3 linked regions of the Arabidopsis thaliana genome follow. The protein of the gene in region 1 interacts with the protein of each later gene in a pairwise test. Each region holds a gene or a part of one and is shown in the gene's direction. Other genes may lie near its edges.

Region 1 (3,742 bases):
TTCTTCTCTGTTTATTATCTAAGCTTTGATTTCACCATAGATGGAGATGACAGAATTGTCTTGCTTGACTCGGTCGCGTTCATCCCCGTTCTTCACCAGCCTCCTTCTTCCAATCTTTACTACGTTATAAGGCGAAGAGGGAAACATGCAGGGTATGATTCTATTGAATCTTTCTCATGTTATGTAGATATCAAAGTTTATCGTTTTAGTTTTAATTAAGCCAAGATTAATAGTTTAGCGGCCTAAATTCACATCTTTTAAAACTTTGATTGGTATTGCAGAGAAGCATGTGTTAGTGCAAAAGAAGAGGACAAAGTTTCTTGTTGCCTTTGTTTTACTTATGTCTCTAATGCTACGCCAAGGCTTCTTGATCCTTTTGACATATACCAACAATTTGAGATACATCAAAGAGGCTCATCAACTCGCAAGTTTTTCGCTACATCTGTTGCTTCAGATGGAATACCACCTCGGTTCCTGAGGAGAAAAGGCTGGACCGTTCCTTTCTCTGCTTCCCAAGACTATGGTTTGATTGATGATGCAAAGGGTGTAGTTGATGCAAAGCTGCGCTATGAGCTTCCCGATTTCGGTAAGAGTGTAGTAGTTGGAAAATGGTATGTTCCGTTTTTGTTTGTAAAGGAAGGAGATGCTAAAGATCAGATGAAGAAATCGATGTATTATAGTATGACACTTCACCAAAGATTTGAAGAGGTTTTCTTCTGCGAAAACGTTGACAATAAAAATTGCGAGGTTATAGTTGATGTGGAGGTAGAAACAGAAGTGGTTAAGCTTGAAGGAGAAAATATTGGAAGAGAGACAAAAGGTGTGAATTCAGATGGAGTTGTCTGGTTTGGTGTCTCAGAGACTCAGAAGATAGGTATTGGGTCTGTGGTCTTGGAGAGGATGAAATGGGAAGAAGAGAGGTTTGGGTGGTCGAAGAAAGGCAATGAACTAAAGTCTAGCATTAAGAGAACTGAGAAATTTGAAGGCGGTGGACCACAATGGAAGAGTTATAGATGCTATGTACTGGTAGAGACCTTTGAACTGAAGAAAACTGATGGGAGTTTGGTATTGACGTATGAGTTTAGACATGTTGATAAGTTGAAGAGTAAGTGGGATTGACTTTATTTCAGCTTCTTTGTGTGTTATGTGTTCAATTTATGGTGTGTTCATTTTATTGAAAGGTTAATGCAAGTTCATGTGTTATGTGGTGAAGCTAACTTGCACAAAAAGGGTGTATACTCTAAAAGGAAAAAAACCTCAAAAGTTTTGTAATTATTTTGTAGAAAAGCATTAGCTAGTGCCAAAGAGTAAGACAGAGTCCCCTGTTTCTTTTGCTTCAGTTTCTTCCTGAAGCTAAGTCACAAGAAGCAGATCCTTATAGTTAGGTCAATCATAATATAAAGAAAATATAGAATTTGTTTGATTGATTCTCCATGATAGGTTTGTGAAACCAGGTCAAGGTCATAACTTTGGAATTCTAAAGTTTGAATTGAACCATAAAGTAAAAAAATTTGAAAAGTCTTCAAACGATAACTTGTAAAATTTGCTTACCGCGTTATCCTCAATACATGGTGCAATATATAAACATATCATATCTCTTCTAATCAATAACCTGATCAAGATTCTGAATTCAAGATGTATGTTACAAGGCATCTCTCCGAATACCAGAGAAACTCGTCGGACTTGACACGATCGTTGCCGGAAGGTCCAAACTCCGGCGTACTTGTGATTCAAGACGAAGAGTCAAAACCGACTTGTTGCTTTGGAAATTGCTACGATGGTGAACTCAAAGGCTTACCGTTCCCACAGAACGCAAAGCTGACTGTGACTTACAGAACCGGAACTGGTAATGACAGGCGCAGTTACCATGACCAGGTTCTGTTCATTCCGGTTCTTGATCAGCCTTATTATTCGAACCGTTATTATGTCATTAAACGACGTGGGAAGCAATCAGGGTATGGCCAAAAATCTTAATTACTTTCTTGACTTTGTTTTGTTTTTTTGAGGTTTTAATCAATTTATGTCATGCATGGTTCGAGATACTTGCTTTTGGGTTTGGTTTTCTTGGGATGGTTTCGGTTTGACCGGATTGGCCACCCCTTTTGACCTGACTTGCACAAATGGTATTCATTAAAAAAAAACTAATTTTGGATTGCAGAGGAGCTTCGGCGAGTGCAAAGGAAGAAGACAGAGTCCCCTGCTGCTTTTGCTTCAGCTATGTTCCTGAAGTTAAGCCACAAGAAGCAGATCCTTATGATATATATCAACAGTTCGAGGTCCATCAACGTAAACCATCATCAGGCTATTACACTGCCACTTCAGTTGCTCCTAATGGGATACCACCAGAGTTCCTTAAGAGAAAGTACTGGACCGTTGAGTATTCGAATTCCCAAGACTTTGGTTTGACAGATGATGCAAAAGGGATCAACACTACGCTTCGTTCCAAGCTTCCCAACGATATGAATACAAGTGTTGTGGTAGGGAAATGGTATGTTCCTTTCATATTTGTGAAAGAAAGAGATGCAAAAGATCAGATTAAGAGCTCACCTTATTACAGCATGACGCTTAAACAAAGATGGGAAGAGGTTTACTCATGCGTAAACGTTAACTACAACCAAAAAGGAGGAGAGGTTGTAGTTGATGTTGACGTAGAAACACAAGTGGTAAAGCTTGAGGGACAAGAAACTATTTCTAGAGAGACAAGTGGTGGTGGATTTGTTTGGTTTAGTGTTTTAGGGGATGAGAGACAAGACAAGAAGATAGGTCTTGGGTCTGTTGTCGTGGAGAGGATGAAATGGGAAGAGGAAAGGTTCGGATGGTTAAACAACGGTGAAAGATCTAACATTAAGAGATCAGAGAGATTTGAAGGCGGGTCATCGCATTGGAAGAGTTATCGATGTTTGGTATTGATAGAGAGCTTCGAATTGAAGAGAATGGATGGGAGTTTGGTGTTGACATATGAGTTTACGCATGTTGATAAGTTAAAGAGCAAGTGGGATTGAGTTTTTTATTCATCTTTGTTCAGTTTCTTTGTGTGTCATCTTTTGGTTCAATAATTAATTTAATGAATAAGTTTTATGCAATTTCATGTAGTAATTAAAAAAAAAAAAAAGTTCGCATTTAAATTCACGTAAATTTCAATTATGAATCATTTATTTGATCATTCTTCTTAAATGTTTTTTTTTTAATATTGTAAACTTGTAACCCTCATTCCAACAACTATGGCCCTCCATTTTTTTAATATAAATCAAGTTCTTTGAAAGTTGCTGATAACGTGTTTTGATTCTACTACCAATTTAAAAGTCTTCACATACGAGTTTAGACATGTTTATAAGTTGAAGAGAAAGTGAGATTGAGAGCTTTTCCAATTTGATTCTCATATCTCCATAATTTATTTAATTTTATGATGTCTCTTAAATTCTGCTTCAAGTTCTGTTTTTTGGGGGCTCTGTTTCAATACAAAACCTCTGTTCTGCAGATTGCTCAAATGAACAATTATGAAGTTAATGGTCATAATTTGGAACTCAAAGTAGATAAAAACTTAAGTTACGTGATAGAATTTAAAAACAATGTGATGTGAATTTAAAAACTGCCAAAAAGGACTTCCATAAAAGCTAAGTCAAAGATCTCGGAAAAGTCTTAAAAAACAATGTTGATTGAGCCGCTAGTGAGATTATTTTTTCTAGTGATTTGAGTCTTGTCTTGTAGGATTCTTGTTGCTTCTCTACCACAACTATATTTT
Region 2 (5,751 bases), on another chromosome or scaffold:
TAGAGTCGATTTTGATGTGTATTAGTTTCCTATTAAAGCAATGTACGTTAATGTTGTGTTTTTTTTTTAGTTTAATAATAATACTAGTATTTTCAGATTTTTATATGATTGTTAATAAAATTATTTCGAGTCATCCATAATGGTCCTGAACAACTTCATAGCCGTGTGTATAAATATGTGTTTGTATACAAAAGAGAAAATAACAAATGAAATGAAACGACGTTTTTGTTTTCTATTGGGTAAGAATTAAATTTCTAGTAAATCTGTTATAAAATTTACATACATAGAGTGTAATAAACAAAAATAAGGGAGCAGTTTGGACAAAGAGTTTGCAGTGAGTCTGATAAAACGACACAACCTGATTCAAGTCTAACCATGCAACTAAATTGAAGACCTAGAAAAATTAATGTTAATTGAGTTTCAACTAACCATTTCAAATTTGTGTTAAGCTAATTTATTTATCTTAATCAACTAACGTAATTTGTTTTTAAACTGCTATTTGCTAAATTCATTATGTAGGAGTAGCCGAGTAGGACCCTGAATGGTACGCTCAAAAGAGGTAGCAGCGTCATCGAACTTAACGTTAGGACACCCTATGATTGATCGTATCAAATGACCAAAATTAAAAAGATGATTGAGTAAACCAATTAATTTTGGTATATAAACAATCTTTTTATTATCGTACACATTTTTGGGATGTGATGTGACTAATGAAAGGTTTAAATATATTTAAACATGATAAACGCAGAAACCACCATATAGAGGAGAAACTAGAAAAATATAATTTGTCAGTCATGTGTCTAAATCCACACCTACTTTTTTCTCATGCTTTTTTTCTTCCTGCAAATATTGCATTTCCTTTGCCTCTCTCACACATTTCCTCTGTCACTTTCTTTTTTATATATTTTTATTTCGGAATTCCATTACCGTGAAAAAGCTTTGTTTACAACAGTAATTTTGTTTCAAATGCTTTCTTGTTGTCTATTTTTATCAATTACTATGCCTCTGCTTGAATAACTTAAAAACACAAGTGATGTTAATTGTGTTATTGTAGATCCTATGAACAAATTTAATTTATAGACGTGTGAAGTTATAAATGAAAGATATCATTGAGTGAGTGATCACCGTTGCAGATAATGTTTAAAGAAAAAAAAAAGGAACAGTTCCTTGTTCATGTCATCATGTGTTGAAAACGGAAGGAGGGAAAGAAAAATCTATCACTCTCAGATTCAGAGCCTCACGTGGGGTAAACTTAGAATTCTATTTTTAGGTACGAATCAAAATATACGACCCGTCGCTTTTAACATGTCATTTATTATACCTTTCACTCTCATTTCCTCCATGCTTTTTTTTTAAAACGTAATTAGACCTATTCATTCTCCATAATATAATACATAAATACAACTTATAAGATTAATAGCCTCGTACACTAACATTAAAGAGTAAATAACCGTTTGTATTTTCCATCTTTTGATTAATGATAACTATAATTTATGAAGAACATCCATAAACTCATGAGTTTTATTTTGAACGCAACATCCATATTTAGCTTTACATTCATTTTTTTAATAAGATTTCAGTCATAGTTCGAAAAATGAATGTTGGGTTGGTTCCGATGGTAAAGCGAGCCGTATCAACAAAAAAGGCCCAAATAAAAAGTGGTATACTGTTGGGCCTAAAGATGAATATACAGAAGCCCATATTAAGACAATTCGGCCCATTCAGCATTGCGTAGCAATCGAATTGATATTTAGCAAATCGAGGAAAGCAATTGACTAACTAGATAATACTGATAAGTGGGTCCCACATAATTCTGACAGCTTAGAGATGGAGAAGATCATCACCGTTAGTCCAAGTTGGGTCAATAAGGCTTACGCCGTTGGATATCAAGATATCCGTTAGATCGCATACACGTGGATACTGTTCAATACTCCTGACCGCAGGGGATAAGACACGTGTTATATTAACGAAGAGTAAGAATGGTTTCTAATAATTTCTTCGCTCCCTTTCTTCTTCTTCTCTCCTTCTTTGAATTTTGATTTTGGTTGAATGGAGATATCAGAGAGAGTTCGAGCTCGATTAGCTGTTCTCTCAGGTCATTTATCGGAAGGAAAACAGGATTCTCCAGCGATCGAGCGATGGTGCACGTCGGCGGATACGAGTGTCGCACCGCTTGGATCTTTGAAGGGAACACTGACGATCGTCGACGAACGCACCGGAAAAAATTATAAAGTTCCGGTCTCAGATGATGGTACCGTTAAAGCCGTTGATTTCAAAAAGGTTTAACCCTTTTTCTAAATGACCATTTTCCTATCACTGTGGGATTTTGAGCTGAGAATTTGCTTTGTTGCGTGTTGTTTGGCTTGCAGATAGTGACGGGGAAGGAAGACAAGGGGCTTAAGTTATACGATCCAGGTTACTTGAACACGGCTCCTGTTCGATCTTCGATTTCTTACATCGATGGAGATGAAGGGATCCTTCGTTACCGTGGCTACCCAATTGAGGAAATGGCTGAGAACAGTACTTTTCTGGAGGTGGCTTATCTTCTCAGTAAGTGTTTTACCTTTTAACCTTACTACACAATTTCAAGTGTTATGTGTATCGAATTGGACATTGATGAAAAGTTTTCTCCTTTACTATATTTTCTGGCAGTGTATGGGAATCTGCCCTCTGAAAGTCAGCTATCTGATTGGGAGTTTGCAGTTTCTCAGCATTCAGCTGTGCCACAAGGTGTATTAGTGAGTCTCTAATCCTTGGTTGATGGATTTCAATTTCGATTTGTAAAATGGAGTTAGCCTGTTCTTTACTAGTAGCCTATTTTCTTGTCTGGTCGAACAATAATTTGTCAAGACTGTTCTATACATGTTGTTCTGAGGATTGTGTGCTGTACTCAAAGCTATATATTTCTCATATCTAACTCCACTTACTTGATAACTTTTGTGCAGGATATTATACAGTCTATGCCTCATGATGCACACCCAATGGGAGTTCTTGTGAGTGCAATGAGTGCGCTTTCCATCTTTCATCCTGATGCTAATCCTGCTCTTAGGGTAGGTTTAACCTTATATTACTTCTCTAACAACATGTCAGGCCTTGTCACTCGCTAGTTTTAGCTCTTTTGAAATTGTCCGTATAAACATGTTGACTGATACTCTATTGGGTGCAGGGCCAGGATATTTACGATTCAAAACAAGTTAGAGATAAACAAATTATCCGCATTATTGGAAAGGTATTTTTTTGTTATCAGTGGTTACCTTACTTCTTCCTATATTGTGTCACGCATAAACATATTTGGACTCTGAATTTCATGAAGATCTGATGCAACTAAACGTGTTTGCGATTTGTGCAGGCACCAACAATTGCAGCAGCTGCTTATCTGAGGATGGCAGGAAGGCCTCCTGTTCTTCCTTCAGGAAACCTTCCTTATGCAGATAATTTCCTCTATATGCTTGATTCCCTGTATGTCTCTGCTATCTCTTTCTTCTTGAATTAGTTAGAAACTCAACTTTTAGATTTAGTTTTAGATCTTGACGCTTCAGAGAACTTGAAGCCTAGTTATTTTTTTACTGTGTACATAACTTGTAGCGTGCCATTAACACACTTCTTACAGGGGAAATAGATCCTACAAACCTAATCCTCGGCTGGCTCGGGTGTTGGACATCCTCTTCATACTGCATGCAGAGCATGAAATGAACTGCTCCACCGCTGCTGCTCGGCATCTTGCCTCTAGGTACTTATCTTTGGTTGGAATCTTAGTGACCTTGATAGGAGATATATTGATTAGGAAATGTCTTCTTGTAGCGGTGTTGATGTCTACACTGCTGTTGCTGGAGCTGTGGGAGCGCTTTATGGTCCACTTCATGGTGGTGCAAACGAGGTATGCTATTTATTCTCATGTCTTCATATGTTACATCTTCTGATGTATTTTCATGCTCCATGGTCTTTGAAATTCATGTCTTTGGTTCCATTAGGCTGTGCTTAAGATGTTGTCAGAGATTGGGACTGTTGAAAATATTCCAGAGTTCATTGAGGGTGTGAAGAACAGGTAAAATCAATTCTTGAAACTATATGCTTCCGTTTCCGAGGTTTGTGACAAGTCTTTTCATTAAAATTCTCATCCCTTTGACATCTTAGGAAGAGGAAGATGTCTGGTTTTGGACACCGTGTGTACAAAAACTATGACCCTCGAGCTAAAGTCATCAAGAACCTGGCTGATGAAGTATTTTCCATTGTTGGAAAGGATCCTCTAATTGAGGTACGCTATGTCCACGAAGTTCAAGCTTATACTACAACTTGATGCCCACCTTTTCGATTTAGTGTAATTTTTCATGTTTCCTTAAAGCCAATGTGTTTGATTCTGATGTCTGCAGGTTGCTGTTGCACTTGAGAAGGCAGCTCTCTCTGACGATTACTTTGTTAAGAGAAAGCTGTATCCAAATGTTGACTTCTACTCTGGATTAATATACAGGTAAAAGTTTGAATGCATGTGCAGTATCCATAACTTCCTCTCAACTTCATCTAAATCTGCAAACTTGGACCATTACAACAGGGCAATGGGATTTCCACCGGAGTTCTTCACGGTCTTATTCGCGATTCCTCGCATGGCTGGATACTTGTCACATTGGAAAGAGTCACTGGATGATCCTGACACCAAGATCATGAGACCACAACAGGTATAGTTAATCTCTTTCCAAGAATAATAAGAGAAAGATTTTTCTTTGGATCAATTTGAAACTTGGATGGTTCATTGGAATATTAAATGTTGCAGGTGTACACAGGCGTGTGGCTGAGGCATTACACACCAGTGAGAGAGAGAATAGTGACGGATGACTCGAAAGAGTCAGACAAATTGGGTCAAGTCGCGACTTCAAATGCATCAAGAAGACGTTTGGCTGGATCTTCAGTTTAGACGTAGGCCCTTTTAGGGTCCATACTATACATCAAACCACACCGCAAAGAATAAAAGAGATTGGTTTCTCTAGCCTAAAGCTAAGATACTTGATCATACTCGAAACTTAGATTTCTCATTTTGTAGGCACAATATAGACTTGATCTATATTTGCTTCAATCCATCTTCTAAGGGTGTTTGTCCGCCTTGTTTGTCTTCTTATCAGAACGTGTTTATTGTATAAAATGATTTATGGTTATGGATTATTACTCTAATTTCTATATCGAATGCTTCTGCAGAGACGTTTGTTGTGAAATATCTCGGCCAAAGCAACAAGTAGAAAACAAAGCACTTTATTAAATCATTGTAAAAACTTTTGAAGATCTATTGTTACAAACTAGGATATCATCAAGCCAGAGTTTCAAAACTCGGAGTTCTTGAAACTTGAAGTAGCCATGTAAATGATACACTCGAAGAAAAAATGATCTGTAAAAAAGCTATATAAGTTACATTACATGTTTTTGTCTGGTGGCTGCATTTTTTGAAGTTGAAGGAGCAGTCCCAGGAAGGCCGTTGATCCTCCTTGGAGGTAGCTTTTGTCCACCAGAAGGAACGCTTCTTGAAGTTGAAGGCGCATTAGCGGATAAGCCAGTCCTCTTTGGAGCAGATATACTATACAAGACATGATCCGTCAAACCGATCAAGTTTGGGGGATAAAGAAGTGGATCCATATAGATATATAGATACTGAGGACATGTTACCTGAAACTCTTCTGAATCGTGTTCTTTTTAGTTTCAGTAAGATTTCGTCCACCATAAGGAATGCTTCTTGAAGTTGAAGGCGAATTCGCAGATAAGCCAGTT
Region 3 (5,746 bases), on another chromosome or scaffold:
ATCATATAATAATTCATAACAATCTTGAGTATCTTGACTGTAATGATTATGAGTTCTATCGTATAATCTATGTAATGTGGTTTACGTCAACTTATTTGAGAAAGAAAAATCAATAGATGGTCAAAACTACCAAAGGAAAAAAAAAGAATAGAAGAAAACTGTATCGTACACTTAAAATTCTCGAATGAAGTGTAAGAAAAATAGATTCATTTTTACATAAGCCTTAATCCTAATTGTAACAACAAAAATAGTATTTTGCTTTTCTTGATTTCCGGTCACGCTGCATTTTAAATTTTTTGATTAGAAGCGGTTTAGTCTAGAAAGTGTCAGGTGTAATATGCTTATACGGCTCTTATATGATGTAGTATGAAATAAGATTAACGTAGCCCCCACAAACTCTGGGTCCATCCTTGAATTTGAGATCTTTCGATTGGATTGAAGTGTTTAGGTCTTGGAACTCTCTTTGAACATTTTATATTCTTATGGTTCTGAAATCTAAGATAAACTGCCAAAATTATACTTCAGCTTTTCTTGTAACATAAATTAAACTATTCATTATGATTTGAAAATCACTAAATCAGTAAAAAAAAAAATATATTGCTAAAAATAATAATTAAGCGGGACCGAAATGTTAAAAATAATTTGAGATAATAAATGGTTTGTTTAGATTGAAAACATAACCACAGCAAAAAAGAATCTAAATAGCTAGCTAGATTTATAAATTAAAATTCATTTCGATTTCTCAAGGATTGTAACTTTAACGTCAAGAGTTTCAAGTGAAGGATATACTTTTTTTTTTTTTTTTTTTTGGACAACTCAAGTTAAGGATATACAAAAGACAATCTCATTCCTTTAACAAAAAAAAATGACAATCTCAATCCCAACGTTAGAACGCCACCAAACCAAAAAGAGAGGCAAAGAAATTCATATATAATACATACATATATATAATCTTGTGTATTTATAGAATACCCATCATAATTATATTATTTCTTAAATAAAAGAAGAAAATTCAAAATAATTTATAGAGTCAAAGAATGAAATCATGGAGGGGCCAAAGACATGTCTTGAATAAAACATATAGATGCCTATGATTGCCTCTTTGTCTGGGTATTATCATATCTTTGCCATAATTCTTGTTTTAGAAGTCTTTAGAACTTAATAGAATTTGAGCTCCGTTTTATCCCATTTCCTATCACAAAGTTCTACTAGATCAAATTCAGTTTTAATTTTTTGGATGCTAAATGAAGAGAGATATAAGAAACAAAAACAAATTAGGTTATTTATCTTAGCTGATTGTCAAAGGTTACAAATGCATATTAGATATATTATTAACCAATTTGTAACCATAGACATGTAATAAACTTTTGCATGATGGAAGATATTCTTACAGAAAACACAACTTTGATCGAATAGATTTGTATTCTAACGGTAAAGTCTCTTGCATTGGTAAACACATGAAAGAAATCTTAGAACATGGGCAAATTGTGGTTGGTCAATTGGTTCAGAAATCAGAATATTAGTGGGCTTATGAGCTTTACCCATTTTAAATTAGATGTTCTGTCATGTGGGCCGGACATACTTAGTTCTTTCCCTTACACATTTTTGTGTCAATTTCCCTTAAGCCTAGTCTTACGCAATATGAAAATAAATGTAATTAGGGAAATCAAGCCCAATTAGGGAAATATGTTTTGACTTACAATTTATGTCAAATGAGAAACATGCCGGTGTAGGCTAGAGCATAGTTCATGCCGTATCCTAAAATTTCTATAACTAGAAACCTACTCCAATAACCAAAACACCCACTCCAAAAAAATTAATATCAAAATCATTCTCTTTTTAAAATAAAAAAAAAACATCAAAAATCAGTCCTTTATTAATAATTATTACACACAGCCCAAATCTTTCAACGAATTTTAAATATAACTCTTCAATTATTGAAATGGTCAATTTTGCACCAAAGTAATTAAAACCTTCTCTTCTGAAATGTCTCGTATCTTCTCATCATTAAAAGCAAAAACCACAAACATATCGCCACTTGTTCATTATCTTCTTCATCCATACATTCACCACCAGCCCGTGATGGCCTGATCTGCTTCCTCCTCCTCCTTACTTCTTGTTTCCATCTTGGTTTCAAATTTCTTCAAAGGTGAATTATTTTCTAAAGTTTCCATTTTTGTTAACAATATAAAAAAAAAAATTGAAGTCAAAGAAGACTGTTCCATTTTTTGGGTTTCATATAAAAAAAAAATGGGTGATGACATTTTCTGTAATCTTTCATTGTATGGATTTGTTTAGATTCCGATCATCTTCACGTCGGAGTACACAATCTGAAACCGATCATCATCATCATCAATTGGGGTTTTTAATCCCTAGAATCAGTAGAAAATATCGATCATTGAGCTTCGATTCTGGTCTCCGTTTGATTGTTTCGGACAATCAGAGCTTTGAGTCTCCGAAAAGGTTGGTTATGTCATCTTCTGTTCCAAACTCGGACCGGAAGATTGTTACTGGTCCCGCCGGTTATATTCTTGAAGACGTTCCTCATTTCTCCGACGACTTTCCTGATCATCCTGTACGTCTCTCTGACTTTTTAAATTTCAATCTATAATGTGACTGAAAATGCGAGCGGGAAAAAGACTGAAACTTAATATGATTGTGGTTTAAAGTTACCTTTTTAAAATATCATTTAACGTTTCTCTGATGAAATCTATTGTTTGTGTCATGCGAATGTTTCAGACATATCCAAATCCATTACAAGACAATGCAGCTTACTCTGTTGTTAAGTAAGTTACTGTTTGTTTGATTTACCTCAGGGAACTTAACTTTCTTTCCTTGTGATTGAATCATCAGCTTCTTCATTGATTCAAATTCAATGTGTTTTCAGGCAGTATTTTGTCGATGAGGATGACACGGTTCCTCAAAAAGTAAGTACAACACTCTCTCCTTTAGCCATTAGCGTTTGTTTATTCGTCTCTCGTTGATGAAGATTCTGGTTTCGCCTTTTTGTAGATAGTAGTTCATCCTGATAGTCCTAGGGGAACGCATTTCCGTCGTGCAGGACCACGTCAAAGGGTAGATTCTGTCTCTTTTCAAAGAGTCTATGCTTGAGAAGGTGAGTGTTGATGGGACTGTTTTGTTTACGCAGGTTTACTTTGAGTCGGATGATGTTCTTGCTTGCATTGTTACATGTGGCGGTCTATGTCCCGGGCTTAATACTGTGATCAGAGAGATAGTTTGTGGATTATCTTATATGTATGGTGTCAAGAGAATCCTTGGCATTGATGTAAGTCTCATTGGTTTAGTTATTCTTTCAGCATTGCTCTCAATTTTTTAGCTCAATATATTAATCTTGTGATCAAATTTGGTTGCAGGGAGGTTACAGAGGATTTTACGCGAGAAACACAATCCATTTGGACTTAAAAACAGTGAATGATATCCATAGAAGCGGAGGAACTATCCTCGGGACTTCAAGAGGCGGTCACAACACCACCAAGATAGTAGATAGTATTCAAGATCGCGGGATTAACCAGGTTTATATAATCGGTGGAGATGGATCACAGAAAGGAGCAGCTGCTATATTCGAGGTAGGCATAACTACTTCTGATCAATAATTGCGTTGGTTATTTCTTTAATGACTGTCTCTGCAGGAGATTAGGAAACGCAAGCTTAAAGTTGCGGTTGCCGGAATCCCGAAAACAATTGACAATGACATTCCTGTAATTCTTTTTTCCCCCCTAATGGTTTGAGATTTCGATATTGTATCGTAGATTCTTATGGTTGTTTGGGATAATGACTGTTTGTTCTTTCTCGGTACAGATTATCGATAGATCTTTCGGGTTTGACACAGCTGTAGAAGAGGCTCAACGTGCTATCAATGCAGCACATGTCGAAGCTACAAGCTTTGAGAATGGTATTGGTCTTGTGAAGTTAATGGGACGGTACAGCGGTAAGAAGTTTCCCTAGACTTAGGTAGTTTTCACCCAAGTTTAGCTGAGCACCGAAGAGATGTTTACGGATTCTTAAGGGTTTGTGCAGGATTCATTGCAATGCATGCCACTCTAGCCAGCCGAGATGTGGACTGTTGCTTGATCCCGGAATCTCCATTTTTTCTTGAAGGCTCGGGCGGGCTTTTTGAATTTATCGATAAACGGTTAAAGGAGAGTGGTCATATGGTGATTGTAATTGCAGAAGGTGCGGGACAAGATCTGTTGTCTGAAAGCATGAAAGAGTCCACAACTCTCAAAGATGCCTCTGGAAACAAACTTCTTCAAGACATTGGCCTATGGATCTCCCAAAGAATCAAGGTTAACATTATTGACATTCCTAAAAACAGAGGATTTTCGTGAGACAAAAACTGAGAAAATGATTTGCTTTCCTTTGTCTCTTCTTATATAGGATCATTTTGCCAAGAAGATGACCCTTACCCTCAAATATATAGGTATATAGATATCTTATGAGTTTTTCTTTTGTGTATGTGGAACATAATAGATAAAGTTTCTTCTTCTTTTTTGGTGTCTTTCAGATCCAACCTACATGATACGAGCTGTTCCGAGCAATGCATCAGACAATGTATGCTGCACGCTTTTAGCTCAAAGCGCGGTTCATGGAGTGATGGCTGGTTACAATGGTTTCACTGTTGGCCTTGTCAATGGAAGACATACTTACATTCCCTTCAATGTGAGTCTCAGGACCAAATACTCATACCTGAGCATCTCTTACATTTATATCAATTTGGGAATCCTAATAACATGGTTTGAATATTGTGTAGAGGATCACGGAGAAACAGAACAAGGTGGTGATCACTGACAGAATGTGGGCGAGGCTTTTGTCTTCGACGAACCAACCGAGTTTCATGAAGCAAGCTGACAAGATCCACTCAAACCAGTTGGTTGGTGAACCAGGGACCATGAAATGGTGATCAACACTGTCTACAAAAACATTCGTTTGTGTTTTGACTTGAGGACATCTTTGTTTGGGAAGTAAGGTTTCTTAATTTAATAGAAAGCTTTTCAAAAATTGTTTTATAATATTCTTCAAGCAAAGAGAAGAGAGAGAGATAACTCTTGTGAGAATAATGTAACAACTCTTGGTTCCAACTACAACTTTGCTTCTGTATATATCCCACGCTGAGTCTTTGAGGCTCATGTAACTTTATTCAAATTTACATGATAGAGAATGGGACTTGAATGAGGAAATTTGTAATTAGCTTAATAACGAAATCAAACTGCAGCTGGCTTTCCATCTTTTCGAGGATCACTAACTGCAGTAAGTAAGCCCTTTAATGGTTTCGATTTCTTTCCGATTTTCCTTCCAATTTCAATAATCATTTCTTCTTCTTTCTCTTCCTTGAAACTCTGAACAATAAGTTGAACTATAGCTCCACCTGATAGCTCCTTTAGCTCATGTCCTCTCTCTGCTAGAAACATCTTGGTATCTTCTGAAACCCCTATGTGATCGCCATTGATCGTGGTGAAGTTCTCATAGGAAACAACATTTGGTATCAACTGCAACAACAACCAAAATACATTGAGTATTTCATTTTGAATGTTAGTAACAACAATCAGATGGTTTTGAACTATGCATACTCTATGGTATATTCTGGCACTCTCTACTGCTTCTTTAGGTTTCATATTCAACACAAAGCAATTAAGAAACACTTGAAGCACCGCTGGAATTATATGCATTCCACCAGCTCCTCCAAGCGCTGCCACGAACTCACCATCCTGCGATAAAAAAATCACAA

What was found. Proteins that work in one complex are often made in the same cells at the same time.
Region 2: the proteins of AT1G13520 (region 1) and CSY3 interact in a two-hybrid assay, tested with the Arabidopsis thaliana proteins (one large-scale study listed by BioGRID).
Region 3: the proteins of AT1G13520 (region 1) and PFK1 interact in a two-hybrid assay, tested with the Arabidopsis thaliana proteins (one large-scale study listed by BioGRID).

Annotation. Positions count from the first base shown.
Region 1 is NC_003070.9:4,631,117-4,634,858, reverse strand, and holds AT1G13520 (hypothetical protein (DUF1262)), read left to right. Parts: upstream 1-1,559; 5' UTR 1,560-1,635; coding exon 1,636-1,955; intron 1,956-2,158; coding exon 2,159-3,002; 3' UTR 3,003-3,226; downstream 3,227-3,742. Other genes in the region: AT1G13530 (hypothetical protein (DUF1262)), read left to right, coding at 41-152, 282-1,119.
Region 2 is NC_003071.7:17,802,290-17,808,040, reverse strand, and holds CSY3 (citrate synthase 3), read left to right. Parts: upstream 1-1,967; 5' UTR 1,968-2,049; coding exon 2,050-2,280; intron 2,281-2,369; coding exon 2,370-2,550; intron 2,551-2,652; coding exon 2,653-2,738; intron 2,739-2,945; coding exon 2,946-3,050; intron 3,051-3,166; coding exon 3,167-3,229; intron 3,230-3,349; coding exon 3,350-3,459; exon of another isoform or gene 3,460-3,610; coding exon 3,611-3,730; intron 3,731-3,801; coding exon 3,802-3,877; intron 3,878-3,971; coding exon 3,972-4,045; intron 4,046-4,134; coding exon 4,135-4,255; intron 4,256-4,370; coding exon 4,371-4,468; intron 4,469-4,549; coding exon 4,550-4,673; intron 4,674-4,768; coding exon 4,769-4,909; 3' UTR 4,910-5,200; downstream 5,201-5,751. Other genes in the region: AT2G42780 (transcription elongation factor B polypeptide), read right to left, coding at 5,395-5,560, 5,650-5,751. UniProt on the Arabidopsis thaliana protein: Peroxisomal citrate synthase required for the fatty acid respiration in seedlings, citrate being exported from peroxisomes into mitochondria during respiration of triacylglycerol (TAG).
Region 3 is NC_003075.7:14,402,796-14,408,541, reverse strand, and holds PFK1 (phosphofructokinase 1), read left to right. Parts: upstream 1-1,949; 5' UTR 1,950-2,149; intron 2,150-2,298; 5' UTR 2,299-2,470; coding exon 2,471-2,575; intron 2,576-2,739; coding exon 2,740-2,786; intron 2,787-2,887; coding exon 2,888-2,927; intron 2,928-3,012; coding exon 3,013-3,075; intron 3,076-3,148; coding exon 3,149-3,286; intron 3,287-3,374; coding exon 3,375-3,587; intron 3,588-3,650; coding exon 3,651-3,719; intron 3,720-3,819; coding exon 3,820-3,949; intron 3,950-4,038; coding exon 4,039-4,307; intron 4,308-4,398; coding exon 4,399-4,441; intron 4,442-4,525; coding exon 4,526-4,680; intron 4,681-4,771; coding exon 4,772-4,921; 3' UTR 4,922-5,195; downstream 5,196-5,746. Other genes in the region: GGT4 (gamma-glutamyl transpeptidase 4), read right to left, coding at 5,223-5,507, 5,589-5,726. UniProt on the Arabidopsis thaliana protein: Catalyzes the phosphorylation of D-fructose 6-phosphate to fructose 1,6-bisphosphate by ATP, the first committing step of glycolysis.